3 linked regions of the Stegostoma tigrinum genome follow. The protein of the gene in region 1 interacts with the protein of each later gene in a pairwise test. Links are inferred from orthologs where the notes say so. Each region holds a gene or a part of one and is shown in the gene's direction. Other genes may lie near its edges.

What was found.
Region 2: the proteins of nup50 (region 1) and importin subunit alpha-7 interact in binary tests that used the Homo sapiens proteins (3 or more experiments, as listed by UniProt). The two-hybrid records come from large-scale screens. The link is inferred for Stegostoma tigrinum from reciprocal best matches to the Homo sapiens genes NUP50 and KPNA6.
Region 3: the proteins of nup50 (region 1) and kpna5 interact in binary tests that used the Homo sapiens proteins (3 or more experiments, as listed by UniProt). The two-hybrid records come from large-scale screens. The link is inferred for Stegostoma tigrinum from reciprocal best matches to the Homo sapiens genes NUP50 and KPNA5.

Annotation. Positions count from the first base shown.
Region 1 is NC_081371.1:18,011,654-18,022,114, forward strand, and holds the start of nup50 (nuclear pore complex protein Nup50), read left to right. Parts: upstream 1-6,411; 5' UTR 6,412-6,613; intron 6,614-10,461. UniProt on the Homo sapiens protein: Component of the nuclear pore complex that has a direct role in nuclear protein import. Actively displaces NLSs from importin-alpha, and facilitates disassembly of the importin-alpha:beta-cargo complex and importin recycling.
Region 2 is NC_081377.1:47,827,848-47,838,135, reverse strand, and holds the start of importin subunit alpha-7, read left to right. Parts: upstream 1-5,908; 5' UTR 5,909-6,010; coding exon 6,011-6,014; intron 6,015-10,288. UniProt on the Homo sapiens protein: Functions in nuclear protein import as an adapter protein for nuclear receptor KPNB1. Binds specifically and directly to substrates containing either a simple or bipartite NLS motif.
Region 3 is NC_081357.1:56,761,074-56,771,906, reverse strand, and holds the start of kpna5 (importin subunit alpha-6), read left to right. Parts: upstream 1-6,599; 5' UTR 6,600-6,732; intron 6,733-9,406; 5' UTR 9,407-9,408; coding exon 9,409-9,537; intron 9,538-9,632; coding exon 9,633-9,737; intron 9,738-9,826; coding exon 9,827-9,926; intron 9,927-10,833. UniProt on the Homo sapiens protein: Functions in nuclear protein import as an adapter protein for nuclear receptor KPNB1. Binds specifically and directly to substrates containing either a simple or bipartite NLS motif.

The DNA of each region.
Region 1 (10,461 bases):
GGACAAAGATGAGCCCCTTACTCAGGACTGACCATTTGTCCTCAGTCAGAGGGAGGTCTGGGGATATGCTGGCTGTGGAGGCTGTGGGCAGAGCAATGTCGGCATCAGCCGTGGGCGGAGTTACGTCGGTGTCGGCTGTGGGCAATGTTCTGTTGGCATCAGTGGAGTTGCATCGGCGGTGGACGGAGTTGCGTCCACGTCCGTGATGGGCGAAGCAGCATCAGCGGTGGGCGGAACGGGGTAGGCAGTGGCAGTAGTGGTGACGGTAATGTCTGTGGTGTTGGTTTTGGAAGTGGAGGCAGTAGCTACAGCAGTGATGGCGTTTGCTGTCCCAGAAGTGGTGTACCCGGCAGTGGCGGATCTGACGTCATCTGTGGGTTCTCCGACAGTGGCCTCATGGCGGCGGGTACATTGTCGGGAAGGTCCTGGGTATGGCTGGGGATTTGGGAGGCGGAGGAATCCCGTTCTAGGTGGCAGGGACCAGTGAGTTTACTGTACGTACGGATTTTTGTGTCCAATAAAGCTGAGTAGAATTGTGAGTTCAGGTTGTGGATCCTACGAAGAATAAAAAACAGGAGAGGTCCTTTGCAGGTCTGGGAGAGGGAGGTTCTGAGCTGGGGTAGGCTGGATTGCAGTGCCTGGAGATGCCGGCGCTTTGCTGCGAGTGTGTGTTTCATGAGTCACAGGGAGAAACGCTTCTGAAGGGTCTCAATGTTCTGGATGTAGATATGGTCACGGTTGGGGCCAAATTGGGAAGGCATGAATGTGGACTATAGTCCATTGGGGATGATCTGGTTCTGTAGGCGGGTACTAAGAAAGGTAATGTGGCTGTAGTACCTGGTTTGCTTCAGGACATGGTCGAGCAGTTTCAAGGCCGAAGAGATTACAAGGGAGTTGTACTGGGAGAGAGATCCCCTGAGGTTTGTCCAGAGGGAGGAGGGTAACTTCTCCAGGTTAGGCATCCCTAGAAGAGGCTTTGCAGTGAGATTAAAATTGTATCAGAGATAATGGGAACTGCAGATGCTGGAGAATCCGAGATAACAAAGTGTGGAGCTGGATGAACACAGCAGGCCAAGCAGCATCTTAGGAGCACAAAAGCTGACATTTCTGGTTGAGACCCTTCATCAGAAAAGGGGGAGGGGGAGAGGGTTCTGAAATAAATAGGGAGAGAACATTTACAGTTGCTTCATCAATGACCTTCTCTCCATCATAAGGTCAGAAGTGACTGATGACTGCAGTGTTCAGCACCATTAGTGACTCCTCAGGTACTGAAATAGTCCATGTCCAAATGCAACAAGATCTAGACAATATGAGGCTTGGGCTGACAAGTGGCAATTAACATTCACGCCACACAAATGCCAGACATTGGCCAACTCCAATAAGAGACAATCTAAGCACCATCCCTTGACATTCAATGGTGTTACCATCACTGAATCCCCCACTATCAACATCCTTGGAGTTCCCATTAACCAGAAACTCAACTGGACTCACCTTATCAATGTACTTACAAAAGCAAGTCTGAGGCTAGTAATACTGCAATGAGTAACTCCTCTCCAGTCTCTCAAAAGCTTGCTCACCATCTACTTGGCACAACTCAGGAGTGTAATGGAATACTCCCTACTTGCTTGGTTAACGGCAGCTCCTACAACATTCATAAATCTTGACACCATCCAGCACAAAGCAGCTTGCTTGATAGGCACCACATCCAAAAGCATCCATTCCCTCCGCTACCAATGCTCAGTAATAGCAGTGTATATTATTTGCAAGATATAGTGCAGAAATTCATCAGGGCTCCTTAAATAGCATCATGCAAACCCATGGCCATTTCCATTTGGGAGGAAAAGGGCAGCAACACATGGGAACACCACCAACTGCAAGGTGCCCTCCAAATCACTTAAGATCTTGACTGGGAAATACATTGTTAGAAATCACGCAACACCAGGTTATAGTCCAACAGGTTTATTTGAAATCGCAACTTTTTAAGTGCTGCTCCTTTATCAGGTGAAGTGGCACCACCTCAAAAGCTTGTGATTTCAAATAAACCTGTTGGATTATAACTTGGTGTCACAGCACTTTTGACTTGGTCCAACACCGGAATCTCTGCATCATGGAAATACATTGCTGTTTCTTCACTACTACTGAGTCAAAATCCTAGAATTCTTTCCCTAGGGGCATTATGGTTCCACCTATAACACATGGACCGCAGTGGTTCAAGAAGGCAGCTCACCAACACCTTCTAAAAGGCAGCTAGGGACAGGAAATAAATGCTGGCCAACCAGCAACGTCCAAATCCTATGAGTGAATAAATAATGTTGAGTAATCTCAATGTGACGACAGAACTTTGTTTCCACAAGGACTGTGCGGTGGCCACTCTTATCGATACTGTCACAGACAGACATATCTAAGGGAGGCAGATTGGAGAGGATTACATCAAATATGCTTTTCCCTCTTGCACACTAGGGCTTCACCTGCTACAGATCGAGTTAACAGATGTGACCAGTTCCGGCAGTGGTGGTGTTACTAAGCCTGCCTTGTGATAGACATTGAAATTCCCAAACCCAGAATACATTCTGCAACCTTGCTACTCTCGGTGTTTCCTCCAGGTGAACATGAAGAAGCACTGATTCATCATCTTAGGAGGCGAGGTGTGTTACTGGTAGTCAGCAGGAGTTTCTTTGCCCATTTTGACCCCTACATCCTGGGATTTTATGTGATTGAGAGTCAATGATGAAGACTTTGAGGGTAATTTCCTCCCAACTCAATATGCCCTGCCACTTGGATGGGATATATCAAATGACAATACTAATGTGACCTAATAAATGTGTTTGAGTGGTGTAGATAGTGGTACAGTAATATGGATACCATGGTTATAGATTGTGCCTTGAGGTTGACAAACAGGTTTTCTGGTTGCAATTGTTAGTATTTCTAATGTCGTTGAGATGATACAACCACAGGAATAAATGACTGAGAAAACCTCACACAACTTAAGTTCAAATCTGTTTTAAACTTCATCTGTGTATTTTGTCCTTGATTTCCAGGGAATGTCCTGTAGAACCTCAGCATGACTTCCCAACTCCTAGACTCAAAGGAATGAGCGATGAAGGCAAGTATGCCAAACACCTTTTTAACCCCTGTCCATATACCCATCTTGAACCCATAACTTGTAGCTCAGAGACAAGGACACCACTATTCTGCCACAAGAGCCACTATATCCATTCAAATACTTATTTGCAAAAGCAATACTAAATAAATAAAAATCAAACAGCTCATTAGGGCACTGGAACTGAAATGAAAACTGGAGGATCAAATCAAAATGTAGTGGTTGGGGGAAATAACACACCTCAGCCCCACATGGATCCTAAAAGCTGCAACCATGCTGTGTGCTCCCTCTCGAAGGTTACCTGGCTGAACATAATCTCAAGCACGACTGTTTTAAGGCTGCAGGTGGCATTGACTGTCAGCAAGATGTTCCCTGTGCATTTTTCTCCTATTTAAAGATCAGTTCAATGACAAAATTATGGTTGTCAGGAAATGTGATAACTCAGAGTTAGGTCTATTTTAAAGTTGTATTTTATCTCTATTGACGCATATGTGGATTTTGTTTATAGAACATAGAAAATTACAGCACAGTACAGGCCCTTTGGCCCTCTGTTGTGCCGACGTGTCATACCATTCTGAAGCCCATCTAACCTACACTATTCCATGTACGTCCATATGCTTGTCCAACGACGACTTAAATGTACTTAAAGTTGGCGAATATACTACCGTTGCAGGCAAAGTGTTCCATACCCTTACTACGCTCTGAGTAAAGTAACTACCTCTGACATCTGTCCTATATCTTTCACCCCTCAATTTAAAGCTATGCCCCCTCATGCTCGCTGTCACCATCCTAGGAAAAAGGCTCTCGCTATCCACCCTATCTAACCCTCTGATTATCTTATGTCTCAATTAAGTCACCTCTCAACCTGCTTCTCTCTAACGAAAACAGCCTCAAGTCCCTCAGCCTTTCCTCGTAAGACCTTCCCTCCATACCAGGCAACATCCTAGTAAATCTCCTCTGCACCCTTTCCAAAGCTTCCACATCTTTCTTATAATGCAGTGACCAGAACTGTATGCAATACTCAAAGTGCGGCCGCACCAGAGTTTTGTACAGCTGCAGCATAACCTCTTGGTTCCGGAACTTGATCCCTCTATTAATAAAAGCTAAAACACTGTATGCCTTCTTAACAACGCTGTCAACCTGGGTGGCAACTTTCAAGGATCTGTGTACATGGACACCGAGATCTCTCTGCTCATCTACACTACCAAGAATGTTACCATTAGCCCAGTACTTTGCATTCCGGTTACTCCTACCAAAGTGCATCACCTCACACTTGTCCGCATTAAACTCCATTTGCCACCTCTCAGCCCAGCTCTGCAGCTTACCTATCTATGTCTCTCTATAACCTACAACATCCTTTGTCACTATCCACAGCTCCAACGACCTTAGTGTCGTCTGCAAATTTACTAACCCATCCATCTACGCCCTCATCCAGGCCGTTTATAAAAATGACGAACAGCAGTGGACCCAACACCGACCCTTGCTGTACACGACTAGTAACTGGAATCCAGGATGAACATTTCCCATCAACCACCACACTCTGTCTTCTTTCAGCAAGCCAATTTCCGATCCAAACTGCTATATCTCCCACAATCCCATTCCTCCGCATTTTGTAAATAGCCTACTGTGGGGAACCTTATCGAAAGCCTTGCTGAAATCCATATACACCACATCAACCGGTTTACTCTCATCTATGTGTTTGGTCACCTTCTCAAAGAACGCAATAAGGTTTGTGAGGCACGACCTACCCTTCACAAAACCGTGCTGACTATCCCTGATCAAATTATTCTTTTCTAGATGATTATAAATCCTATCTCTTGTAACATTTTCCAACACTTTACCAACAACTGAAGTAAGGCTCACTGGTCTATAATAACCAGGATTGTCTCTACTCCCGTTCCTGAACAGGGGAACCACATTTGCTATCCTCCAGTCTTCTGGCCCTATTCCTGTAGACAATGACGAGGTAAACATCAATGCCAAAGGCTCGGCAATCTCCCCTCTGGCTCCCCAGAGGATCCTGGGATAAATCCCATCCGGCCCAGGGGACTTATCTATTTCCACACTCTGTAGGATGTCTGATACCTCTTCCTTGTGAACCGCAATCCCACCTACTCTAGTAGCCTGTATCTCAGTATTCTCCTCAACAACATTGTCGTTTTCTAGAGTGAATACTGTTGAAAAATATTAATTTAGTGCTTCCCCTATCTCCTCTGATTCCACACACAGCTTCCCACTACTGTCCGTGATTGGCCCCAGATACTAAATATGTAATCCACCACAGAAACTTGACGGTCTGCCATATCCAGATATATATCTATTCCTGTATAAAACATGCTCAATGATTGAGATTCCACAGCTTTCTAATTCAAAGAAAGCCAAGTATTTACCAACCTCTGAGTGCGCAAACTCCTCCCATCACAGTCTTAAGTGACCGATTCCCTAATCTGAGACTCTATATCCCTGGTTCTAGACTCACCAGCCAGGAGAAACATTCAATCTATATGCACCTTGTTATACCTTATAAGAATTTTTGTAAGTTTCAATGAGATTACCTCTGATTTTTCAAAACTCGATAGAATACGTGTCTAGTTTCCTCAATCTCTCCTCATTAGAAAACCCCATCATCCCAGTGATTAGTCTGGTGAAAATCCCTTTGCACTCTTTCTATGATATATATGTTCTTCTTTCGGGAGAGTTCTTGTGTTGCAGCCGTGGTGTCCCAACTTTTCTGAGTCAGAAAGCCTGGGTTCAGGTTCCACGTGCTCCAAAACGAAAATGAAAGAATTGCGGATGCTGTGAATCGGAAACAAAAACAGAAAAAGAGTTCAGCACCTGTGAAGATAAATTAGAGTTAATGTTTTGGGTCAAGTGGCCCTTCCTCAGAATTGCTGGACAGATTGATTAAAATAGCCACCCTTTCTTAGGAGATCAAACTGTATATGGCACTCCAAGCATGGCCTCACTCGAGCTCTATAAAATTGGAGGAAGAATTACAAGAGATAGTAGGAACTGCAGATGCTGGAGAATCTGAGATAACAAGGTGTTCTGAAGAAGGGTCTAGACCAGAATGTCAGCTTTCCTGCTTCTGTGATGCTGCTTGGCCTGCTGTGTTCATCGAGTTCTACACCTTGTTATCTCTTGAATTACAAGTGCCAGTTTCTCTGATGCTTGGTTTCCAGATACTTTCCATCGAATGAGCACAGTTGAACATTTCCAGTGTTCACCAATAGGCTTCCAAAGTGAAGCTGAAGAGACACCAACAGGAGATGCCCTTAGTCCTGTGTCAGTGGTTCTGTGGAGGAAGCATGCGCACGTCCCGCCCACCGGCACAAAATGGCGGAACAGGAGCACAGCTGAAAGCGCGAGAAGGGGCTGAGGGAAGGAGTGTGGAATCACATAATACAATCATTCGGCATTCAATAGGGGAAATCAGACTGTAACCTTCGAAAGGCCTTACCAGCACCGAGCGACCGGCTTGTCGACAAGGGCAGATTCACCTACCGCAGCCAGGTGAGCCAAGCTAACCTTATGTGCTCGCACTGAGAATTCACATATTCACAGGGGAAGCCGTTGGTTTGCGTCGCTCCAGAAAAAAGTGAAACGGTCTATGAGATTAAATAAACTCATGTAGGGTGCGGGGTAGGTTTATATTTGATGCTTGGCGTCTTTTGTGGGTGCAGAAGCTGAGGGACATATTTTGAATACAAGGGTAAAACGACATTTCATTGCGGCCTGGCCTCGCTGTGAGGACTGATCGTTTGGTCTCCCCTATGTTTATTTGATCAAAACCATTTCTAGCCATTTTCATCAGCCGTGAACCCGAGCATGGTGCTGGACGGTTTGAATTATCTCGCTGGGATCGTGTTGGAGTGGTCCTGGCCGCTCATTTTTAAAACGCACATTCATCTTGGGGTAGCAACGAGTCGAACAAACTTGCTGGTTTTAGACCCGCCTTTGGCTCCTGCCGCCTGCTGATTGGTCAGCTCCTTGTCAATCAAAGCCGGCTGCACCGATGTCATGTTCGGTTGCGCGGCTTCTCCTGGCCACATGCCCCTGTTCACCCACAGTGAGGGCGCCTCTAACCCCCTGGAAGGCATTAACATTATGCTTCCAACCCCTTTAATGAAGAGGCTTTTTAAAATCAAAATATTTTAAGTTAAATATCCTCCAACCGATAAAGGAAGTGATCTCCCGCTCGTTGGTCTGCCCCGGGGAGTTCACTAGGTTCCCAGTGGTGGGAACAGAAAGACATTCTCTCCTCGAAACAGTCGGGAGAGGCCCAGTGTGCACTTTGGTAAATTTACATCCGAACGTTGAAGTTTTCGGACAATTTCACAATGCGTTGTGCTGTGAGCTTATACGTTGCCCAATACAAACCCGGAAGTTCTCAGACTCGACTCATGAGTTATCAGAATAGTATGGAGAGAAAGCAAACTAACGTTTCGAGTCCAGATGACTTCTCTTTAGTTCTGAGTTATCTAGACCCGAAACGTTACCTTGCGCTCTCTCTCTCCATGGATGCGGCCTGGCCCGCTTTGATCTCCAGCATTTTATTTTTGTTTTCAGTACAGATTCCAGCATCTGCAGTAATTTTTGTATCAGAATAGTTGCTTCACATAATTTGGAGCAACATCGTCCATGGTGTGACTTTTGTGCTGCACACATAACCTAAATTATCTTCGTTCTCATTTCTGTCATTTAACTACGAGGTCATTTGGCTAGTTATTTTTGTGGGAGGTTATTCGATTTTATTTCTGAGAACGTTCTTTCCTAACATTTAAACATCGCTGGCAAGGTATTTTATTCCCAAATCTCATTGCCCACAGGAAGATTTTTGAGTTGATTTAATCCAGCCTATCTTGTGTGTTGTAGGTACACTCATAGCGCTGTTTTTAGGGAGCATTCTCGGGTGCAGAATTGATTGTGAAAAGATGCTGATTATAGTTTCACGTCAGGATAGTGGCTGGCTTGGGGAATTTGCAGGCGGGAATGTTTTTGTCTGCTGCCCTTGTTTTTCTCAACGACCAAGATGTTGTAGTTTATCTGGTCTACAATACACATTGCTGCTATTGACTCTCAATCAGTGGTGGATGAGGTGACTTTCTCCACCCCATGTTGAATGTCAAGTGATGTTAGTTTCTGTATTGAAGAGGATCACTACTCAGCACTTGTGGCCTGAATGTTACTTGATACTTGTCAGGATCGCACTCTGTCACACTCACTGTAAAGAACAGCCACTGTTTTCCCCTTGTGGCCATTCTTTTGTCTATCGTTGGACCATAGCTGTATTGAGGCCTGGAACTGAGAGGCTTTACGAGAACTCAAACTGAGCATCAATGAGGATGTTAGAGGATGTTATTGCTGTGCAAGAGCTGCGTGATGGCACTGTTGACAACATCTCCTCTCACTTTGCCAGTGTTCAAATGTAGACTAATGAGGGCTAGAATGGTGATCTCATGCTTTTTGTGTGCAGGTCAAATATAGGCTTTTTTCATATTTTCAGGTAGATGTTATCTGAAGCTGCTAGATATTTCATAATTCAGCTGTTCAGGTGTTATTGTGTGTTACATTGGAAATGCAGAATCCATTTGATGTTTCCTTTCTGCGGTAGGCTATTTATTTAACTTATTGTGGTAGAACATTAGCAAGGTCAGAGAGAGCTGCAGTGTAAGCTTATTCACCTAGCTTTGCGGTCTAGCTTGTTTTAGCATTTGTTCTAGCATTTTGCTTAACTATAGATGTTCTGACATGGTTGTTGAAGAAAAACCATGCTGCTTGTCTTTGAATGATTTTCCAGTTTGTTTGCAAGGTGGGCTCAGTAGGGGTCCCAGACTGTTCCTGTGCTAGCCAGTTTGGAACATACCAAGCCTTAAGTACCAGTCTAGAGTTTTATTGTATTTAGTTAGATATTTCCTTTTAAAAATTCTAGGATTTTGTTTGTGTTACAGCACTTCATTTTTTTTGGTGAATTGATGTCACTGAGGGAGAACACCAAGATACAAGTTTGTTTGATGGATGCGAGGTTGATTTCCCACTGTTGCCTGCACCTTTATTGCATGTAATTTGTGGCATTTTGATATATTAATTATGCAACTTAACTGTAGGACTATTACAGGCATATCTAAGTCATGGTACATGAGACAATCTGTAAACAGCCTGATGTTTGGAGTTGGGACGAATTTTATATCCAACACTTTGTGTACTCCAGTTCCCTGGGGAATATGCAGCGTAACTGGTATTGAATGTGATGTTTTTGCCATCAGCACATGAAATTTGGCTAATGAAAATTCAAATAACTCTAGATGTTCACTACTTATCCTGTAACTAGTTGACTTTGGCTGGTAGGATATTACATGAAGCCATTTAGAACTCCCTAATGTACTCGTTTAAGATTGACTCTTTTTTTCACTGTGTACAAGGATTTCCTGGTAGAACTGTGTTCGATTTTGAGGGAAAAAAAGTGATCAGTTGGCCTCCTGAATATGATTTTAGTATACACACTTGTTTAATCAGTCTTAATTTAGGCAATATTTAGTGCCCTGGCAAATGAATTAATGTGAAAAGGCATACTTGTATTTCAACTGGTTATGAACACAGATGGCTGTGTTGTTTGGAATAGTTGAGTACTTTAAGCAATGTCATCAGTTATCTTCTATTTAAGATTCACATTTTAAACAGTCAATTTTCACACTGAAGGATGATATACGGCAGCATTCCACAGGTGTCAATGCCTTTCTCCATGTATTTAAATAATGTAGTAACTGGCCACAATTTCACTTTCACAGTACTTCCAAGTTTTGTGTCGGAACATAGTTGTAAACTCATGTAAAGGGCAGACAGGTAGCAAATGAAATTTTACTGCAGAGAAATATGAAGTGATACATTTTGGTAGGAAGAATAAGGAGCCAATGGGTGAAAGAGCAGTGGGGCTTGATGATAAATATGCAGAAATTGTTGATGCTTACAGGGCCAATTGAAGATAGTGTCTGGTAAAGCATACAGAATCCTGGACTTTATGTGTAAAAGCTTAGAGTGCGAAAACAAGATATGGTGAATTTGTATAAAACACTGGTTTTACCTCACCTGGATTATTGGGTAATTCTTTGGCAGACTTTTTTAGAATAATGGAGGATTTAGGAAGATGCAAGAAAGATTTAAAATTAATATTTCTTGAGATGGAGGACACAGTTATTGGTGAAACAGAAGTTGTTCTCTTTCGAGAGTAAGATTTCAGAGGTGCTCAGGATCTCCGGGTGTCACCCAAAGCAGGTCAAGATAAATAGTTCCCTTTGCAAGCAGAGCCGAGAATTTTGACCATAAATTTGAGGTGATTGGTAAAAGACAACTTGAAAGAATGT
Region 2 (10,288 bases), on another chromosome or scaffold:
GGGAGGAAGCAACAGTACCGGTGGACAGTTCTTCCCCAAAGATTCACTGAATCCCCTAACCTGTTTGGCCAAGTCTATGAGCAGGTATTAGAGGAATACCATGGGGACCCGGGTACACAACTGATACAATATGTGACTGATCTTCTAGTCTGAGGAGAAAGAGAGAAGTACGAGATTCCACTATAACGTTATTAAACTTCCTGGGAAAGAAGGGGTTGAGGGTGTCTAAGAACAAGCTGCAATTTGTCGAGCAGGAGGTGAAATACTTGGGTCATTTAATCAGTCAAGGGAAAAGAAGAATAGGTCCGGAAAGAATCGTGGAATTACTAGTATGCCCCTACCGAAGAGTCGGACAGAAATTAGAAGGTTCCTAGGGCTCATTGGGTACTGTAGATTGTGGATTGACGAATACGCCCGACGAGTCAGGTTTTTGTATGACAAACTAGGAGGAGAAGATGAGAAGATAACATGGACTCCGCAGGAGCGACAAGAGTTCACTCGTTTAAAAAAACAGCCTGGTAAACGCTCCGGTTCTGGCTCTACCCTCAATCAATCAACCCTTCCACTTGCTCGCAAATGCCGAGAACGGGGTAGCCTCGGGAGTGCTAACTCAGAACGAGGAGGGCAGCAGCACCCCATGGCTTTCCTCTCAAAGGTTCTGGATCCAGTATCCCGCGGCTGGCCGGTGTGCCTTCAAGCGATTGCAGCCACGGCCATCCTGGTTGAGGAAAGTCGGAAGCTCACGTTTGGAGGAATCCTGGTAGTGTCCACCCCACATACTGTCAGAACGATTTCTGGCCCAGAAATCTCATCGATGGCTGACAGATTCCAGGATATTGAAGTATGAGGCTATTTTGATGGAAAAAGACGATTTAACCATCGTCACAGACAAGAGCTTAAATCCTTCCCAGTTCCTATATCCGCCCAAGGGAGGGGAAGAATCTGGGAACCTGGAGCATGATTGCAGTGAGGTAATAGAGCTACAGATAAAAAGCAGGGAGGACCTGGAGGAGGAGCCCCTTGCAGAGGGGTGTAGGTGGTTTATAGATGGGTCATCCCGCTGCATTGATGGAAAAAGATACAATGGATACGCCATCATCAATGGGACCATGGAAACCGAAGTAGAGTCCGGGAGACTGCCTGGCGGTTGGTCTGCCCAATCCTGTGAACTATATGCTCTGGTGAGACCGTTGGAATTATTGGAGGATCAAGAAGGTACTATATATGCTGACTCAATACGCGTTCAGGGTAGTACACACTTCTGGGAAGATCTGGAAGGAACGAGGAATGATTACAGCAAGAGGAAAAGAGCTAGCTCATGAACAACTTATTGAAAAGACCTTGGAAGCCCTATTAAAACCTGAAAAGATAGCAGTGGTGCATGTCCCGGGACATCAGAAGGGAAATTCGCCTGAGGCTAGGGGCAACAGATTGGCAGATGAAGTGGCAAGGCAAGCTGCCCAATCTGGGACTGTGCGGATGATGTCCCTTATTCCCCTGAGAGAAGGGGGTAAAGAAGGTGCCGGTGTTCTCGGTGTTTGATGAAGGACAAATGGAGGAGCTGGGAGCCAGGATGACGAGAGATGGGAGGTGGTGGCTACCTTATGGGAGACAGCTGTTGAGCAAGGAGATCACCAGAGAACTGTTGGGAGAACTGCACTCACAGTCGCACTGGGGAGCCCAAGCATTATGTGATGCTCTCTTGCGGGTGTATGCCTGTAGGGGGATCTTCACTCTGGCAAAGCAAGCGGTCTCTCGATGTATAATTTGTCAGAAGATAAATAAGAAAGTGATGACAGCCATGCCAGGAGGGGGACAGCCATTGGCAATTCAACCGTTCCAAAGAATACAAGTGGATTTCACTGAGATCCCCAGCGTCCAGAGATGGAAGTACCTGTTGGTGATAGTTGATCACTTTACCAGGTGGGTGGAAGCCTTTCCCGCCGTCAGTGCCACGTCCCAAGTGGTGGCCAAGATTCACTTGGAACACGTGATTCCCAGGTATGGGATAATAAAGTCCCTAAACTCAGATTGTGGAACACATTTTGCTTCCAGGACACATGAACTGACTTGTGACACTTTAGGGACGAAATGTAAGTTACATGCACCATGGTACCCACAGAGCTCGGGAATGGTCGAACAAATGAACGCCACTCTAAAGACTCAGATAACAAAATTGATGGCAGAGACGAAGCTTCCCTGGACTAAATGTTTGCCGATAGCTCTGCTCAGGATACGCACCGCTCCACGCAGAGATATAGGGATGTCCCCTTACGAGATGTTGTTCGGGCTCCCATACGTGGGAAAGATAGAAGGGGTGCCCACTATTGAAGGTAATGATGTATTTCAAATGAACTATTTACTGGCAGTCTCTCGTTCCCTTACAGAGTTAAAGGCCAAAGGGCTGTTGGCGCAGAGTCCTCCTCTCGATTTTTCTATCCACTCGATCAGGGCGGGAGACTGGGTTCTGGTCAAGTCGTGGCAGGAAGAAAAACTCCAGCTGCAGTGAACTGGTCCATACCTGGTGCTGCTGACAACAGAGACAGCAGTCTGAACGAAAGAAAAAGGGTGGACGCATGCAGCACAGATAAAGGGACCAGTGGATCCGCCAGCTGAGGAAGAGTGGGAGGCACGGGAGGGGAACAACCCATTGACGTTAAAATTGAAGAAGAAGATAAAATGAAGGGTTTACACTGTACTGTTATTTTATTGTTAATTGTAGCCTGGGGAGAGGGAAAGAATCATTTTACCGCTTATGTCAAAACTATGCTAGACAAACGGGGCGCACCAACTGCTGGGTGTGTGCTGCAATCCCACATCATGGGGAGTCCAGAATTCCTCTGACCAAAGAAGAAATAGGCGAGGTGCTGCAGTTTGCCTCCACTTTAAATGATACGTGGGAATCGGTCAGGGGTGCATGGAATTCTAGTCACGGGAATTGGTAGCCACGTTGGGGAAGGTGGAACAGGAGCAAGGGGAATTATAGTTTCAAGGGATGGTTTCCTCAGCCGGCCCCAGGGACCCAAGGTGCAAATGACGGTCTCAGAGTTTCGCCACCTGGGGGACAGGTTAACTCAACGTGTTTCTGTAACTGGAATGATAGAGCCCCGTTCCAGTTGGGGAATTTGTCTTGTAAACTAAACATTCTAGCCTTAGACACCACCCTACCCCAAGTTTTGAATGGGACACGCTGGGTTTGCCATAAAAGGCGTATCCATATCTACCCGGGGACATGCACCAACACCAAGGGGAGGAGGGGTCCGGGTGAGGGAGATCCTTGCCCCATGATCAAAAGGGATGAAGTGGCTGTTGTTACCTAGCCCATTTGGTTCCACATATGAGACTCCTGGGGCGGCCCCTAAGCTAAACCAGAGACAAGGAGGAGGGAGACGTAACCTCCGAAAAGTAACTGAGGGGGATTGTCTCCTCTGGACCTTGTTACCCATGTATGGGACTGCCCGATCAGGGAGAGAGATGCAGAAGCTGGCAGCCTCTCTGGAGGAGTTGGCCAACGACACTTCTGATGCTTTAGCCGATACCCAATCCCGGGTGGAGGCCATAACCACTGAGCCGATTGCCACTAGGCTAACGGCTCTTCAAAATCAGATGGCTCTAGACATTGTTCCAGCCAAAAAGGGCGGTACCTGTGCACTAATTGGGGTAGAATGTTGTACATACATACCTGACACCTCCCCAAATATTACTGATATCTCCCAGCACGTGCGAGACCAGATCGCCAAAGTAAGGGAAGCCGGTAACAAGTACCGGAACGAAAAAGGATGGGAATGGGGAAATTGGGGATTGACCGGTGGCTGGTCAATTGGCCATTTATGGATTGCTGATACTAGTGGGTCTGGTGGTGGGGCTCAATGTCCTGAAATGTGTATTGAGCCGATTGATGACATCCCTTGAAGGGGTGACCCAGATTCACCGCCAAAGGCTTCTGCAATCGGAGGATAGTATGCAGCAGAGAGAGATTCAGAGGATGCTCCGGGCGTTCGAGGGACGGGATCCCAAGGTGCAGTTTAATCATGATGCATAGCAAAAAGAAAAAGGGTGGATTGTGAGAGATAAGGATGATTAAACTGCAGTGAAAAGAATTACTCAGCTTTGAACCAAAAGACATCTAGTACTGAGCCGTGATAAGAAAAGGAGGTGAGGGCCAAGTGGTTAGAAACCAGAATGAACTGGTCCAAAACTACTAGCAGACACCCAGAGGGTGAAAAGGTCAAGCTTTGCACAATAGACATAGTTGAAGTGCATGCCTAATGAGAGAATGCATATTAACTTTTATGCCCATGCTTGCGAAGCTGCTTAATTAACATAACATGCGATGTATGAAGGGGGTGGGACAAGGGAAGTAACGGGAAGATTGTGCACCTTGGAGCTCAGATTGGACGGAGCCAAAAGGGGAGGATCTGGCTGGAAAAATGATGTATAAAAAGAGGAGGCTCCCTGGCCTGTGTGTGTCTCAGGCAATGGGAGGCACCTGATTCTGCAGACTTGTAATAAAGCTTAGGTTACTTGTTTCTAAGACTTTGACTCCACTGACTCTGTGATTGTGAGCATGTGAATCTAAATCTCACAATAAATGAGGTCAGGGTAATAGATTGATAGGAAACAGTAACTATAACATTCAGTTTGAGAGTGAGAACTTGGGTCACAAACAACTGTGCCAAACTTAAATAAGGGTGATTACAAGGAATGACAGCAAAGCTAGCTGGAGTGGACTGTGTAAGAGGTATAAAAGCAAAACAATTAAGAAACATTTGCAGACATTTAAGAAAATAGCTCATGATTTGCAGGAAAGATATGTCCCAGTCAGACAGAACAATTCTAGGAAGGGGACAAGCCAAACATGGTTATAAAGGAAATTGAGGGTAGCATTGGACTCACCCCCTCCAACTGAGTAACACTGCAGGAAATTTAGTGAATTCATTGGCTGGTGACCACTACCATTGGGGAATGCTTCTTAAAAACCTGCAAATTAGAAAAGTGTACTAAGTGACTAACTGAATGTCAAAGACAGTGCAATAACGGAGAACAAGAAATAATAGGTAAGTCAGCCGAATTATGATCAGAGAAAGATGGTAAGGTTAACACGGGAGAAACTTTTAAGGTTAAATAAGACCAGGGCATCATAAGATATAGGATAATTAGGTCATTCAGTTTGCAAGAATCATTCGAGGAATGAGAAAAATCAGTTATAAGCTGAAGAAGTTGGGGTGTTATAATTGGAGAGAACAAGGTTAAGAGGAGATTTGAGATAATGGGAACTGCAGATGCTGGAGAATCCAAGATAATAAACTGTGGAGCTAAATGAACACAGCAGGACAAGCAACATCTCAGGAGCACAAAAGCTGACGTTTCAGGCCTAGACCAGCTCTGATGAAGGGTCTAGGCCCGAAACGTCAGCTTTTGTGCTCCTGAGATGCTGCTTGGCCTGTTGTGTTCATCCGGCTCCACATTTTATTATCTTAAGAGGAGATTTGATACTGTTTTTCAAAATCACGAGCGAGCTGCACAGACGTGACAGGTAGAAGCTGATCTCTTTTGTAAAATTAAAAAAAATTAACTTGATGGACGATAGACCACCCTGCAAGAGCTGAATGGATTCCTTCTGGTTATAGTTTCCTGACAGAGAGTGAAACAGAGTATAAAAAGTGACATAGACAGTTGGTACAGAGATAGTAGGACCTGCCGATGCTGGAGCATCCGAGATTACACGGTGTGAAGCTGGATGAACACAGCAGGACAAGCAACATCAGAGGAGCAGGAAAGTTTGACGTTTCAGATCAAGACCCTTCATCCGAGACAGTTGGTACTGGTTTTGCTGTGAACGGTGGGGGCGGAGAGCAGAAGCTGCCGTTTTCAATTTGCGCGCGCCTGCAGGAGCCAAGGCCCCGCGAGCCCCCGCGCGCTGCCGCCATCTTGGATCAGAGTTGTTTCTGGAAACAGCCGCGCGGCCCCGATAACAACAACAACCGTCAGGCAGGAGTGAGGACCGACAATGGGTAAGTGTGTGTGTGAGGGAAGGGGGTTCGGGGGCGAGGGAAGGGGGTTCGGGGGCGAGGGAAGGGTTGTGGTGGGTTGAGGGTGAGGGGACAGGAGGGGTGGGGGTTGCGGGAGGAGTCGAGGCAGAATTGGCAGGACGGGAGGGGCAGGGATGGGTTGAGGGGACAGGAGATGTAGGGGCAGGTCGGGAGGAGTGGGGGCAAGGGTGAGGGTGTGGGGGCGGGACACGGGGAGAGGGGAAGGGGGCGAGGTGGACGGGACGTGGGGAGGGGGGGGGGGGCGGAGCGGGGAGGGGGGGGGGGGCGGAGCGGGGAGGGGAGGGGGGGGCGGAGCGGGGAGGGGAGGGGGGGGCGGAGCGGGGAGGGGAGGGGGGGCGGAGCGGGGAGGGGAGGGGGGGGCGGAGCGGGGAGGGGAGGGGGGGGCGGAGCGGGGAGGGGAGGGGGGGGCGGAGCGGGGAGGGGAGGGGGGGGCGGGGCGGGGAGGGGGGGCGGGGCGGGGAGGGGGGGCGGGGCGGGGAGGGGGGGGCGGGGCGGGGAGGGGGGGGCGGGGCGGGGAGGGGAGGGGGGGGCGGGGCGGGGAGGGGGGGGCGGAGCGGGGAGGGGGGGGCGGAGCGGGGAGGGGGGGGCGGAGCGGGGAGGGGAGGGCGGAGCGGGGAGGGGAGGGGGGGGCGGAGCGGGGAGGGCGGGGCGGGGCGGGGAGGGGGGGGCGGGGCGGGGAGGGGGGGGGGGGGCGGGGCGGGGAGGGGAGGGGGGGGCGGGGAGGGGGGGGCGGGGCGGGGAGGGGGGGGCGGGGCGGGGAGGGGAGGGGGGGGGGGGGCGGGGAGGGGAGGGGGGGGGGGGCGGGGAGGGGAGGGGGGGGCGGAGCGGGGCGGGGAGGGGAGGGGGGGGCGGGGCGGGGAGGGGGGGGCGGAGCGGGGAGGGGAGGGGGGGGCGGAGCGGGGAGGGGGGGGCGGGGCGGGGAGGGGGGGGCGGGGCGGGGAGGGGAGGGGGGGGCGGGGCGGGGAGGGGGGGGCGGAGCGGGGAGGGGAGGGGGGGGCGGAGCGGGGCGGGGAGGGGAGGGGGGGGCGGAGCGGGGAGGGGAGGGGGGGGCGGAGCGGGGCGGGGAGGGGAGGGGGGGGCGGAGCGGGGCGGGGAGGGGAGGGGGGGGCGGAGCGGGGAGGGGAGGGGGGGGGCGGAGCGGGGCGGGGAGGGGAGGGGGGGGCGGAGCGGGGAGGGGAGGGGGGGCGGAGCGGGGAGGGGAGGGGGGGGCGGAGCGGGGAGGGGGGGGGGCGGGGAGGGGGGGGGGGGCGGGGAGGGGAGGGGGGGGGGCGGGGGAGGGGAGGGGGGGGAGGGGAGGGGGGGGCGGGGAGGGGGGGGGGGGGCGGGGAGGGGAGGGGGGGGGCGGGGGAGGGGAGGGGGGGGAGGGGAGGGGGGGGCGGGGCGGGGAGGGGGGGGCGGGGCGGGGAGGGGAGGGGGGGGCGGGGCGGGGAGGGGAGGGCGGGGCGGGGAGGGGAGGGGGGGCGGGGCGGGGAGGGGAGGGGGGGGCAGGGGGGGGCGGGGCGGGGAGGGGAGGGGGGGCGGAGCGGGGAGGGAGGGGGGGGCGGGGAGGGGAGGGGGGGAGGGGAGGGGGGGGCGGGGCGGGGAGGGGAGGGGGGGGCGGGGAGGGAGGGGGGGGGCGGGGAGGGAGGGGAGGGGAGGGAGGGGGGGGCGGAGCGGGAGGGGAGGGGAGGGAGGGGGGGGCGGGGAGGGAGGGGAGGGGAGGGAGGGGGGGGCGGAGCGGGAGGGGAGGGGAGGGAGGGGGGGGCGGAGCGGGAGGGGAGGGGAGGGAGGGGGCGGCGGAGCGGGAGGGGAGGGAGGAGCGGGAGGGGAGGGGAGGGAGGAGCGGGAGGGGCGGGGAGGGGGGGGCGGAGCGGGAGGGGGGGCGGAGCGGGAGGGGGGGGCGGAGCGGGAGGGGGGGCGGGAGGGGGGGCGGGGAGGGGGGGCGGAGCGGGAGGGGGGGCGGGGAGGGGGGGGCGGAGCGGGAGGGGGGGGGGCGGAGCGGGAGGGGGGGGCGGAGCGGGAGGGGAGGGAGCGGAGCGGGAGGGGGGGGGCGGAGCGGGAGGGGAGGGAGGGGGGGGCGGAGCGGGAGGGGGGGCGGGGAGGGGGGGGGCGGAGCGGGAGGGGGGGCGGAGCGGGAGGGGAGGGAGGGGGGGCGGAGCGGGGGGGAAGGGGGGGCGGGGCGGGGCGGGGTGGAAGGGGGGCGGGGCGGGGTGGAAGGGGGGGCGGGGTGGAAGGGGGGAAGGGGGGGCGGGGTGGAAGGGGGAAGGGGGGGCGGGGCGGGGGGGAAGGGGGGGCGGGCGGGGGGGAAGGGGGGGCGGGGAAGGGGGGGAGGGAGGGGCGGGGACGAGGGGGCGGGGACGGGGGGGCGGGGAGGGGAGGGGGGCGGGGAGGGGTGGGCGGGCGGGGCGGGGAGGAGAGGGTGGGGGCGGCGCGGGGACGGAGGGAGGGGCAGGGAGGAGGGGGCGGGGAGGGCTGGGAGGGAGGTGGGGCGGGGAGGGCTGGGAGGGAGGGCTGCGGGGGAGGGCTGGGAGGGAGGTGGGGCGGGGAGGGCGGGGAGGGCTCGGAGGGAGGGGGGGGAGGGAGGGGGTGGGGGGGAGGGGCCGGGGGTGGGACGGGAGGCGGTGCGGGCCGAGTGGGCAGGGCATGGGCCGACTGGGATGAGGGGACGGGGACGGTGGGGTGGGGTGAGGGGATGGGATTTGGGTGAAGGGTCGGGGCGGGGACGAGGCATGGGGTGAGGGAATGGGAGGTACAGGGGCTGGGTGAGTGGATTAGGGGGCAGGAGGTGCAGGGGTGGTGTGAAGGGACTGGAAGGGTGAGGGGATGGGAGGGTTGCTAGTGGGCTGAAGGGGACGGCTGGGGTGGCGTGAGGGGGAGGGGTGTGGGTGGCGTGATGGTACGGGATGGGGAGGGACAGTGTAAGAGGACAGGTTGGGTTGGGTTGGGTGGGCAGGGTGAGTGGCGTGGATGGAACAGACGGGGATGGGAGGAGTGTGGGTGGCTAGGGTGAGTGAGTATGGATTTTAGGTTTAGAAGAGATCCAAGAGAATTTTTCTTCATTCAGAGTGATGAGGATTTTGAGCTCTGTGCCTAAATGAGCACTAGCAACAGATACACTCAAATCACTTCAAAAATCCATGAAGTGTTGTACTTTTTACAATGTGCAAACACCTCAAAGCTCTTCAGAAGTACTTTTGAAGTGGGCACTGTTTCAAATCAGGAAACAAAGCAGCCAATTTACAATCCACAGATATTCACAAACATCAAAGTGACAATAATGTGATTTTGTTTGTGATTGAGAGATTCCATGCGATCTAACATTCCAGAGCAGCCTTCCATATGGAACTTTACCAAAGGCCATGCTGAAATCCATATAGACTACAAACTACTGTCCTACCCTCTTCAAGTTGTCTGGTCACTTCATCAACAAACTTTAACAAATATGTGAAGCATGATCTCCCGTGCACAAATCCATGCTGACTACTCCTAATCAAACCCTCTTTCTAAATCCACATATAGCGTATCTCTCAGAATCTTATCAAGTAACTTAGCTATCACTGATGTTGGGGATATTAGTCTGTTGATTTGGAGCCAATGTGTTTGTTGATGGAGTTCTGGTTGGAATGCCATGCTTCTAGGAATTCTCGTGCATGTCTCTGTTTGGCTTATCCTAGGATGGATGGGTTGTCCCAATCAAAGTGGTGTCCTTCTTCATCTGTACGTAAGGATACTAGTGATAGTGGGTCATGTCGTTTTGTGGCTAGTTGATGTTCATGTATCCTGGTGGCTAGCTTTCTGCCTGTTTGTCCACTGTAGTGTTTGTCACAGTTCTTGCAAGGTACTTCGTAGATGATGTTTGATTTGCTTGTTGTCTGTATAGGGTCTTGATGACATGACCCACTCTCACTAGTATCCTTACATACAGATGAGGAAGGACACTACTTTGATTGGGACAACACATCCATCCTAGGACAAGCCAAACAGAGACATGCACGAGAATTCCTAGAAGCATGGCATTCCAACCGGAACTCCATCAACAAACACATTGATTTGGAGCCAATCTACCGTCCTGTGAGAAAAAGAACAGGAAATGTCATCACCAACCCAAGGAAACCTAAACAGATAAATAGAAAGTGGGACATAACACCAGCTCTTCATCAGAGGCTCACTGATGTTACCTCGAATGGTAACGAAACGTCTGAAAACGAACCTTCCAGCTCAGCGAGCAAACTCACATCCAGAAACTCAACCTGAGC
Region 3 (10,833 bases), on another chromosome or scaffold:
AAACTGCTGTGGGAATTAAACTTAGTTTTCTATAGCAACTAACATTCATTCTATGACCTCCAAATATTTCAAGTCCCTGATTTCTGCCTGTTATGGGGGATGGGTACCTGAAGGTAGGTTTTTAATGATTTGACTGACTTGTGATCTTGTTGGATTCAAAAGCATTTTAGGCATCCTACATATACAACAAAATTACAGTAAGACATGATCAAAACAACAATCAATAGAGATGGTACAGTGGCTGACTGCTTATCACTGTCTCAGTGCCAGGGATCCAGGTTTGATTCTGCCTTTGGATGACTTTTGGGTTTGCAGATTCTGTCTGCATGGGTTTCTGCAGTGCAAAGATATGCTGGGTAGGTGGATAGGCTGTGCTAAATTCACCATCTGGTGATGAGCAAGCTGGGTGCTTTCGCCAAGGTGGGGGGAAAAAAGCATTGCTGGGATGGAATGCTCTTCAGGGGTTTGGTGTGGTCTCAATGGGCCTAATGGTCTGCTTCCACTAGGATTCTAGAATCCTAAAACCTGTTTTGATTTAGATTAGGCTGTTTTCATTAGAGAAGGTTGAGAGGTGACTTAATTAGACATAAAATAATCAGAGGGTTAGATAGGGTGGATAGGGAGAGCCTTTTTTCCTAGGATGGTGATGGCGAGCACGAGGGGGCATAGCTTTAAATTGACGGGTGAAAGATATAGGACAGATGTCAGAGGTAGTTTCTTTACTCAGAAGTAAGGGAATGGAACGCTTTGCCTGCAACAGTAGTAGATTTGCCAACTTTAGGTACATTTAAGTCGTCATTGGATAAGCATATGGATGTACATGGAATAGTGTAGGTTAGATGGGCTTCAGGTCAGCACAACATCGTGGGCCGAAGGGCCTGTACTGTGCTGTAATGTTCTGTTCTATTACTGTTCTATATTATTACCAAGAATAACTACACTTGACATCAAGGCTGCATTTGACTGACAAAATTAAGTAAATAGCTACTCAGGAAAAATTTGATACATCACCCAATTCCTGAGTAATATTAAAGTAGTCCCATACTTATCATACACACCCCAACTACACCTTTACCATGCCAGTTGCAAACTCCCAGTCATCATTCCCCCAATAATTCTTTTCGCTACTATGCAAACCTCCATAGTCCATTTGGGGCAGCAGTTTTGGGAATTGGAAACCATGCATTGTCATGCTGATAAACATGCATGGGGCTTCCCATCAGCTGCACAACTTACAGGAAACGCTGTCCCCAAACTTTGACCTGACACTCCTTTTCCCACCATCAGACCTGAACTCACTTCCCCCTGCCAAACTTGAACCCCCATTTCCCAGCTGGTCCCAATTTCATTTATCCACTAACCACACTTGAAGATCTCAGTGGCTAACCTGAATGAGTATGCCACTACCATTACAGAGTTCATTTCCAAGTGTGTAGAAGATTGCGTGCTGAAGAAGTTAATCTGAATGTTCCCAATTAGAAACCACGGATGAACTAGGAGATCCGCTCCCCACTGAAGTCCAGATCTGAGGCATAGAAGTTGGACAATCCTAACCTATACAGGAAATCCAGGTACGACCTCTGTAAGGTCAGAGATGCCAAGCAGCAATACTAGACTATACTCGAGATCCAAACCAACCACATGGATACCCATCATCTGTGGCAAGGCTTACATGACACAATAGACTACAAAGCAAAGTCGAACAGCATCGCACGCAACAATACATCCCTACCCAACAGCTCAATGCATTCTACGCTCACTTTGAGCGGAAGATCAGTGAAACTATGTCATATGTGCCAATAACCTCGGACGTACCTGTACCCATGGCACCACTGAAGATGTTAGTTTGGCCTTGACAGTGAACCCATGGAAAGCAACTGGCCAGATATGGTCCCCTGCAGCACACTCAGATCCTGGGCAGACCAGCTGGTGGGAGTATTTGCTGACATTTTTAAACTTCGCCTTACTATGATCTGAAGTCCCCAACTTTTTCAATAAGACCACCATCATCTCAGTGCCAAAGATAAATTATGCAGTATGCCTCAATGACTACTGCTCGGTGGCTCTAACTTCCATTATTATGAAGTGCTTTGAGATGTTAATCATGGCGTGCATCAACTCCAGCCTACTAGATTGATTTGATCCTTTGCAATTTACCTACCAGCATGACGGGCCCATGACAGATGCTATCTCCCTGGCCCTACTCTTATCCCTGGAACATCTGGATAACAAGGATACACATGTTAGGCTCCTACTTACTGACTACAGTTCTGCCTTCAGCACCATAATTCGAAGCAAACCTATCTCTAAACTCAGAGACCTAGGTCTCAGATCCTCTTTCTGTAACTGTATTCTTGACTTCCTGACCCATAGATTGCAATCAATAAGAATGGGCAACAACATCTTTTCCAGCACAATCTTCAATACTGCATACTTATCCCCCAACTATACTCCTAACACAGTAACAATTGTGCAGCCAAATTCTGCCCCAAATCCATTTAAAAGTTTGCTGACCCCACTACTATTATAGGTCAAATCTCAAACAATGAATACACGGAATACAGGAAAGACATACAGTGCTTAGCAGCATGGTGTAAAGACAACAATCTCTCCATCAACATCAGCAAAACAAAGGTGCTGATCATCGATTTCAAGAAGCAAAGAGGAAGGCACACCCCTTCTGCATCAATCATGCCGACGTGGAGATGGTTGAGAGCATCAAGTTCCTGGGAGTGATGATCACCAATCTGTCCTGGTTCACCCACGTCAATGCGATGGTCAAGAAAGCACAACAATGCACCAAAGCGTAGTATGGTAACTGCTGTTCACAACACCACAAGAAACTACAGAGTTGTGAACATAGCCCGGTCCATTATGCAAACCAGCCTTCAATACACTGACTCCAACCATACTTCCTGCTGCCTAAAGGAAGTAATCAAAATAATAAAGATCCCTCCCGCCACAGTTATTCAGTCTTCCAAATGCTTCTATCCAGCAGAAGTTGTAAAAGTTTCAGTACACATATGAACAGATTCAAAAACAACTTTTCCCCAGACTTTTGAATGGGTTTCTCAAATGTTAATATTGATCTCTCTCTCTCTCTCTCTCTCTCTGCACCTTCTCTGCAGCTGTAACACTGTATTCTGTGCTCTGTCTGTCATCCTGATGCATTTTGTACAGTACAATCGGCCTGTATAGTATGTAAAACCAAACTTTTCATTGTATCTCAGTACATGACAACAATAAATCAACTAGTCAGATCCAACCCTAAACATCACCTACCCCGGTACTGATGCTACCTTCTCCCTTTTCCCAAATGGCACCCTTTCCCCTCTACCTCTGGCACATTATTTACCTCTACTTACCAGTCAAGCTAACATCATACTTACTTTATGCACTTACCTTTTGACAGCAGCTATCAAAATGTTTGTCTAGACCTTTAAATTTCAGAACACAACAGCTAATTACTGTGAAGAGTGGGCATGATCTGCCTTCCCCCGATAGCTCTGCACTACACAAGGAAGTAATCAAGAAGTTCAGTTAGATTTTATTTTCTGTGCTTCAGTCCACATTTTTTGCCAATTACCTGTTATTTTATGTTCTTATATTTAATTCCTGAAACTTGATTAGTCACAACAGTCATTACAACACAGGAGGCCATTTAGTTCATGATGGCACCCCCGACAGTAAGTCAATCAGTCCTACTCCCCTGCTCCATCCAGTTAGCCCTGGAAGTATTTAAGTGTTGGTCAAATTTCCTTCTGAAATAATTTGTCATCTTGCATCTAGCAAGTTCCAGCTTACTACAACTCACAGCATAAAAAGGTTCTTTCTCACATTCCCCAGTACTGCTTGCCCTTATGTCAGTCTCTTCTAGTCCTTGTATATCAGCTAAGGGAACAGCTTTTATTCTGCTGTTTTATCTAAAGCTGCGTTGCAGTCTTCTAGGTTGTAATTTCCCTATAACCTTTCTCTTGGAACAAGAGAAACAATCTCAACATCTCCAATCTAACAGTATCTAAAATCCCTCAATTCTGCAACCATTCTCCTCTGCACCTTTCAAAGATCTTCATATCCTTTCTAAAAAGCATGACCGTAACTATACACAGTACTCTAAGTGGATCCATCCAGAGATTTATAAGAAAAATACAGAATAAATTCCTCAGAAATAGCAAGAACTGCAGATGCTGGAGTTGGAGATAACAGCGTGGAGCTGGAGGAACACAGCAGACCAGGCAGCATCAGAGGAGCAGGAAAGTTGACAAGAGACAGGTTGTAGGGAAATTACAACCTAGAAGACTGCAACACAGCTTTAGATAAAACAGAAAAATAAATGTTGTTCCCTTAACTGCTAATACAAAGACCAAGAGAGACTGGTCTCAGGTTTTAGTCAACTTTCCTGCTCCTCTGATGCTCCCTGGCCATCTGTGTTCCTCCAGCTCCACACTGTGTTATCCTAGAATTAATTCCTGTCCTTTTATCTTCAATTATGAAGCAAAAGTCATTATGCCTTGTCAACTAATCTATCAATATGTCTGGACGCTATCAAAAATCTATGCACACAAATACCGAGGTCTTTTCGTGTCTAAAGATCCTTTAGAACCATGTCATTCAGGCTATATTGACTCTCCTTATCCCTTCCATCAAAATACACATGGTGCTTCTCAGTGCTAAATTCCACTTGGCAACTTTCTGTCCATTCTGCTAACCTATCCATGTAACACTGCAGTTGATTGGTATTACCCTCAGTTTACCACATGAGGTTTGGTATCTTCTCAATGTGATGTTGTGAGGTAATAATAATGTAATTCAGAGTTCCAGATTAGTACTGTAGAATTCCGTCTCAAGAGGTGGTCAAATTTAAATTTCACACAATAAATCTAGAAAGGATGGACAAGGAAAACTTCTGATAACCAAACAAGTACAAACAGTAGCAGAATGTACCATGTAAAGGAACCAGTGGCTCAGTAGCACCACTAATGACTGATTTCTAAAAACTATAACTGCTAGAATGGGTTTGTGGCTGGTAGTGATGGGAAATGATTTACTTTCACTCATCCTTACCAATCTATCCATCACAGATGCATCTATTCTTCACCTTGTTAGCAGGAATGACCACCACATAAATCCACGCTGATTAAGTCCCATCACGTACACTCAATCGTGTTACGGTGAAGAGCTCAAGCAATTCAAATTGAGCTCCGTGAGCTGCTATGGCCCATCAGCAGCAGAACTGCATTCCACCAGAACTGATAGCCTCATTGCTTGGCATATCCATCACTTCATTTAACATCAAGCAAGGGATCAACCCGGGTTCAAAGTATGCAGGACAATGTGCCAAGAGCAGCACCAGAAATTGCTGAAAGCAAGGTAAACAAACACAGAAGGCTTGAGAAATTCAGGAAGTCTGACAGCATCTGTGCAGACAAATAGGGTTAAAGTTTCATGTCAGGTATTGCTCTTCTTCAAAACCACAGGAATAGTTCTGCCCCATTCTGCTCTATATACACGAGATATGGATGGTATACCAGTGTTATACTAAGACGTTCAAACACTTGAACCCAAATTGGGATTGAGCTTTTCTGAAAATCACATGGCAGGGCAGAATACTCAGCCACTGAGGTGCTCATCCTAGCTGGCATGTCAAGCATCCACATCATATTGACATAATCACAACTGAATCGGGCTGGTCATCCAACCGGAATTCTTCACAGCTGCTTACCAAAGTGGATCTTCTGTCCAGCAAACTCGTTCAAAACTCAAATGCCTGTGATTTCCTATCCTATCTGCAGTAGAGTCTTTTGGACCCAGGTCGGCTTCAGCAGTCACTTACTTTACCACTGGAATCCAAAGGGTGAAGACGGTTGACCCTTACATCAAATGGTGATTAAGAGATACCGCCTTCCTTACCAGTACACAGGCCTTCCTTGACTTTCTTTTCACAGCCTGGCCGACAGACAAGAACTAACTCCTTGACCCTAGCTGTCTTGGAACCATAAGATACACCTTGTATCGTGACTTTAACTTCTAATTATTTGCGTCCGTCGCTGGCCAACCCCACTTATGGCTAGGGCTGAGACTCAGGGCAAAACTTCTCTTTTCCCACAATTGAGCAGTGGCTGTGGTATTTCGTCTAACTGCTTTCTCCACTACTGCGCAAGCGCACGGTGTTCCCTCTTCCGGTGGATACGCCTCTCTGATGAAGGGTCTCGGCCCGAAACGTCAGCTTTTGTGCTCCTGAGATGCTGCTTGGCCTGCTGTGCTCATCCAGCCTCACATTTTATTATCTTGGAATTCTCCAGCATCTGCAGTTCCCATTATCTCCGGTGGAGATGGCAGTTTTTTGTCAATCGCCAGTGTGTCACAGCAAAAAGATTCCCCCACTCCATCACTTCCGGTATGAGGATTTTCATGTTGGGGTGGTAAGACTACGACCCTTTTTCAAAAATAGCAATCCCGTAATCGGACGAATATGTTAGTTTTGTTTTGTGAAATGGAAAGTACGATAATCAAACTTGAGAAGAGGGCTTTAATTTGGAAGCGAGTTGGCGGAGTCGTAAACGATTGGTCGGGGAGAGAAGAGCTGTTGAGGGTGCGCAGACGCAGATAGTGCGTCGGTGTCGAGGTGGCTGTTGGGATCGCTGCATCCGCGCTGCCGCCATATTGTGGGTTCGGGTCTAAGGGTCTAACGGTCGGTGGGCGAGAGCTCGGAGAAGCGAGCGACAGCTGCAGGTGAGCTCCTTCCTGCTTCTCCTCCCTCCTTCGTCCCCGGAGGCTCTCCGGCCGCCAACGCCGAGGCCTTCTTCGTCGGGACCCTCAGCCATGGCGTTCTCTGTGATAGGCCGTCCCCAAAGTCTAGGACGCTCCACACCCTGCACTTGCACTTCGGCCTTTAACTAGCGGGCCGCATTTGCCGTGTCTCCCCGGGCCGTGGGTATTCTCTGGAGAACCCTCTGATTCTCCGAGTGTGTGGGGTGGCGGCGAAGAAGGAGACAGAGGTTCTTCACCGTTTCCAAAGGCGAATCGCCACTTTTTCTCCAAGCTCCGTCCTCGTCTACCCCTCAAGATTCTTCAGCCGGTCGTTTAAAATCGCAGGTTTTATTCTAGTAATTGGCACAGTATTTACAAGTGAGGTGGACGACTTGCTTCACCCGCCCAGTCATAGCGGTACAAAGGTGGGCTGTGGTCGGTATGTGGAAGCTAGGGATGTAGTTTGATCCTGTCCGAAACCTCCGGGGGGGTGGGGTCGGGGTCGGTGGAGACTGAAAGTAAAGGAAAAGATTTTTTATTTGGTCCAAAGTAACCGATTCTATTGTAATAAAAACTTGAACTGTCATGCTACAGTTCTGAGTTCTAATACTACTTTTTCTGGTCAGAGGTTTTTATACCGAGTTTTCATGTCATGGCTATATGAAATGTACAATGTCCTGCATCATCTGAAGATTGCTAGTTGCAGTAGACAAACTCTGGATATATTAGAGCGTTCATGTTTAAATTAGACCAATGTTCAAATTAGGTTATAACATTTGGTGGTTTGAGCACTTCTGTCAGGGATTGTAGGAGTGATATTTAGGGAGTTTGAGTAATGTGTGGAGTCCAAGAAATTGTGAATCAAGTGCAGAAAGTCAAAGTGGCAACTGTCTTAAAGTTGTAGAGATATATACAACATGGAAACAGACCCTTTGGCCCAACTTGTAACTACCAATCAGATATCCTAAATTAATATAGCACCATTTACCAGCATTTGGCCCTTTTCCCTCTAAACCCTTCCTATTTGTGTACCCATCCAGATGGATTTTAAATATTGTAACTACCAGCTGCTTCCTCCACCCCTGCCAGCTCATTCCATACACATACCACTGTCAATGAAAAGGCTGCCCCACCGGTCTCTTTTAAATCTTTCCCCTCTCACCTTAAGCCTATACCCTCCAGTTTTGGACTCCCCTACCCTGATGGAAGAAAACTTGTCCATTCACTTTATTCATGCCCCTCTATAAGTTCACCCCTCCACCTTCAGTGCTTTAGAGTAAATAGCCCCAGCCTTTCCCTATAGCTGAAATCCTCCAAATTCTGGCAACATCCTTGTAAATTTTTTCTGAACCCCTTCAAGTTCCACAACATCTTTCCTATTGTGGGAAGACCAGAATTGAATGCAGTATTCCAAAGGTGGCCTGACCAATGTCCTGCACGGCCACAACATGTCCTCCTCCCAGCTCCTATACTCGTGCACTGACCAATAAAGGCAGGAGTATTAAATGCCATCTTCACTACCCTGTCATCCCCATCTCAGATATGTCTTCCTGAGGGTCTGGAAAGGAGTTACGTAACACTGATGGTTAGAAAGTACAAAAATATTAGAGGAGTAGCATCTATTGTGTTTTAAAAGAGTAGGGCTCAGAAAATTGGGATCCACAATGATAACACCTTCTGGCTTCTCCAACCGATTCCTGTAGTCAGGGATAGTCAGAAGGGTCTCGACCCGAAACGTCAACTTTGCTGCTCCTCTGCTGCTTGGCCTGCTGTGTTCATCCAGCTTCACACCGTGTTATCTCAGATTCTCCAGCATCGGCAGTTCCTACTATCCCTGTAGTCAATTACTGTATTTTCAACCGTTGTCTCTTTCCGTGTTGCCAACTGCTTCCGGCCTTTTTATATATCTGACAGTCTCGGGGAGGTTGTCTATTGTGATTTAAGCACATTGCAGGCGCCAAGAGTTGAAGATTTAATGGAACCATGCTAATTACTGACTCTTATTATTTTCCAGCTAGAATTCTGTTGACAGATTAATTTGTTTATTATATTTTCTCTTTATTTCTACATTGTTTATTAACTGAAATTTCTGTTCTAACAACCCATTCTCTCACTGAACTGTTTCTTAAGAGTTAGAAAATAATTGTTTGCTGGGGAACCGGTTGATATTTCCAGTTTTTCTTAAACATCTGGAGCTTCAGTATGTAGGATATACCATTTGATCTAGTGATGGATAAATTAAGTTATAAAAATTGCAAGTAGCCAGAACACAACAGAGTTGCTGAAACATTCTCCAATTGTTTTAAAGTTAAATCATTTCGTCAAAGCCTGTGCTTTTAAAAGGGACTTAGACTAGGGAGGCAGAGAGAACAGTAGTAATTGAATGTCCTAAAATAAAGGCACATATTTGTGAAATACGTAGCCTTAAATATTTTAGTTTTAAAGGTTTACTGGAAGTTACAAGTTCTGAAAAATTGGAATGTTTTCAACATTTCAAAAAAGTATGAATTAAAATTAGTATACTTTGAGATATGACATCAATCATAGTTTTTTTTAAAAGCGTGATTGCCTTTTTATTTAAGGTGAAAATCTATCCATTATGGTGCTTTTACAGCTGTAAGGTTTATTTGATCATATTGGGAATGTTTAAATACAGGCATGGCAAGCCCAGTAAAAGATAACTACAGGATGAGAAGCTACAAGAACAAAGCATTAAACACTCAGGAAATGCGAAGACGACGAGAAGAAGAAGGTATCCAGTTACGGAAACAGAAAAGGGAAGAGCAGGTGTGTATGTGATCATAGTTCTGTAAAAGTTTTTTGATAAGTAGATCTGGTTCATGCCTTCATTTGATTGCTTTTTTTTCCTGCTTGTGTTCCAGTTGTTCAAGCGCAGGAATGTGGCAGTTCCTGGAAGTGATGAAGCCATGTTTGAAAGCCCCATTCAAGACCCCGATATAAGCTCTACTGTAGTCTCTTTACCTGGCGTAAGTAGAAAGAACAAGAATGTTTTTGTCTGTGTTGAACAGAATTTCTAAACACTGAAGTGTCCAATCTTAAATGTCTTCTATTGTAGGAAGGTGTAATCACAGTAGAAATGGTACAGATGATCTTTTCAGAAGATCCTGACCAGCAACTTGCAGCCACACAGAAGTTTCGGAAACTGTTGTCAAAAGGTGAGAATCTTGGGCTGAATGCAGTGCTGTGGAGAGTTCTTACTATTGGAGGGAAGGGAAGGAGAGAAGGGAGAAGGAACAGGAGCCTGCCAGAATGATGTTACGGGAGTAGGAAGGGTGGATTGCCAGAACAAGGCAATAAGGATTCCTTTTACACATTGTCTTAAGACAATTTAAACGCAGCGATGGCTGGTAAATCGATGCTTTCCTTTGAAATGTGGTTTTAAGTTTAATGGAAGGTTGATCATTATTGAGGATATTGATTAATTATAATATTGCATCTGTGCAAGTCCAAATAAGGGCAGTCCCTGGGTTACGAACAGGTTCCGTCTGAATATGTTCATAAGTCGATTTGTGTACAAGCCGAACACAATTCAGTACAGTATAAAACAGCTGTTCATAAGTACAAGCAAATATTCGCATGTCTAGTCTTTAAAATTAATATTCTTATGGAATCTCGAATCTCACTTATAAGTATGTATGTTTATAAGTTGGTAAGAAGTGAAAAATAAACCCAGAATTGAATAGCAGTTTCTGAGAAAATCACAGAGCTGGAATGAGAGGATGGGCTTTTACTATTTCTAGCATAATGTATTCTAATCATCAAGAGTAGGTGGACACTTAAATTATGGACCGATGAAAGTATGTACAACTCCTGCATCCTTTGTTTAATGTCTGGGTTTTCTGTCTCATTGTTGCAGTTGATTTCCTGTTCTATTCTACTGTCCAGGAATCTCTCTAGTTTTGGTTGAATGGAAAATAATACCATAATGGGAAATCTTGTGAAATTTCGTGCCATTTTTCTCTATTTTAAGTGTTAAGTAAATAGGAACAAATGCATATTTCACAAGTTACATTTTTTGAAAATTAATTTGTGGGCATCGCTAGCTGACCAACATTTATTGCC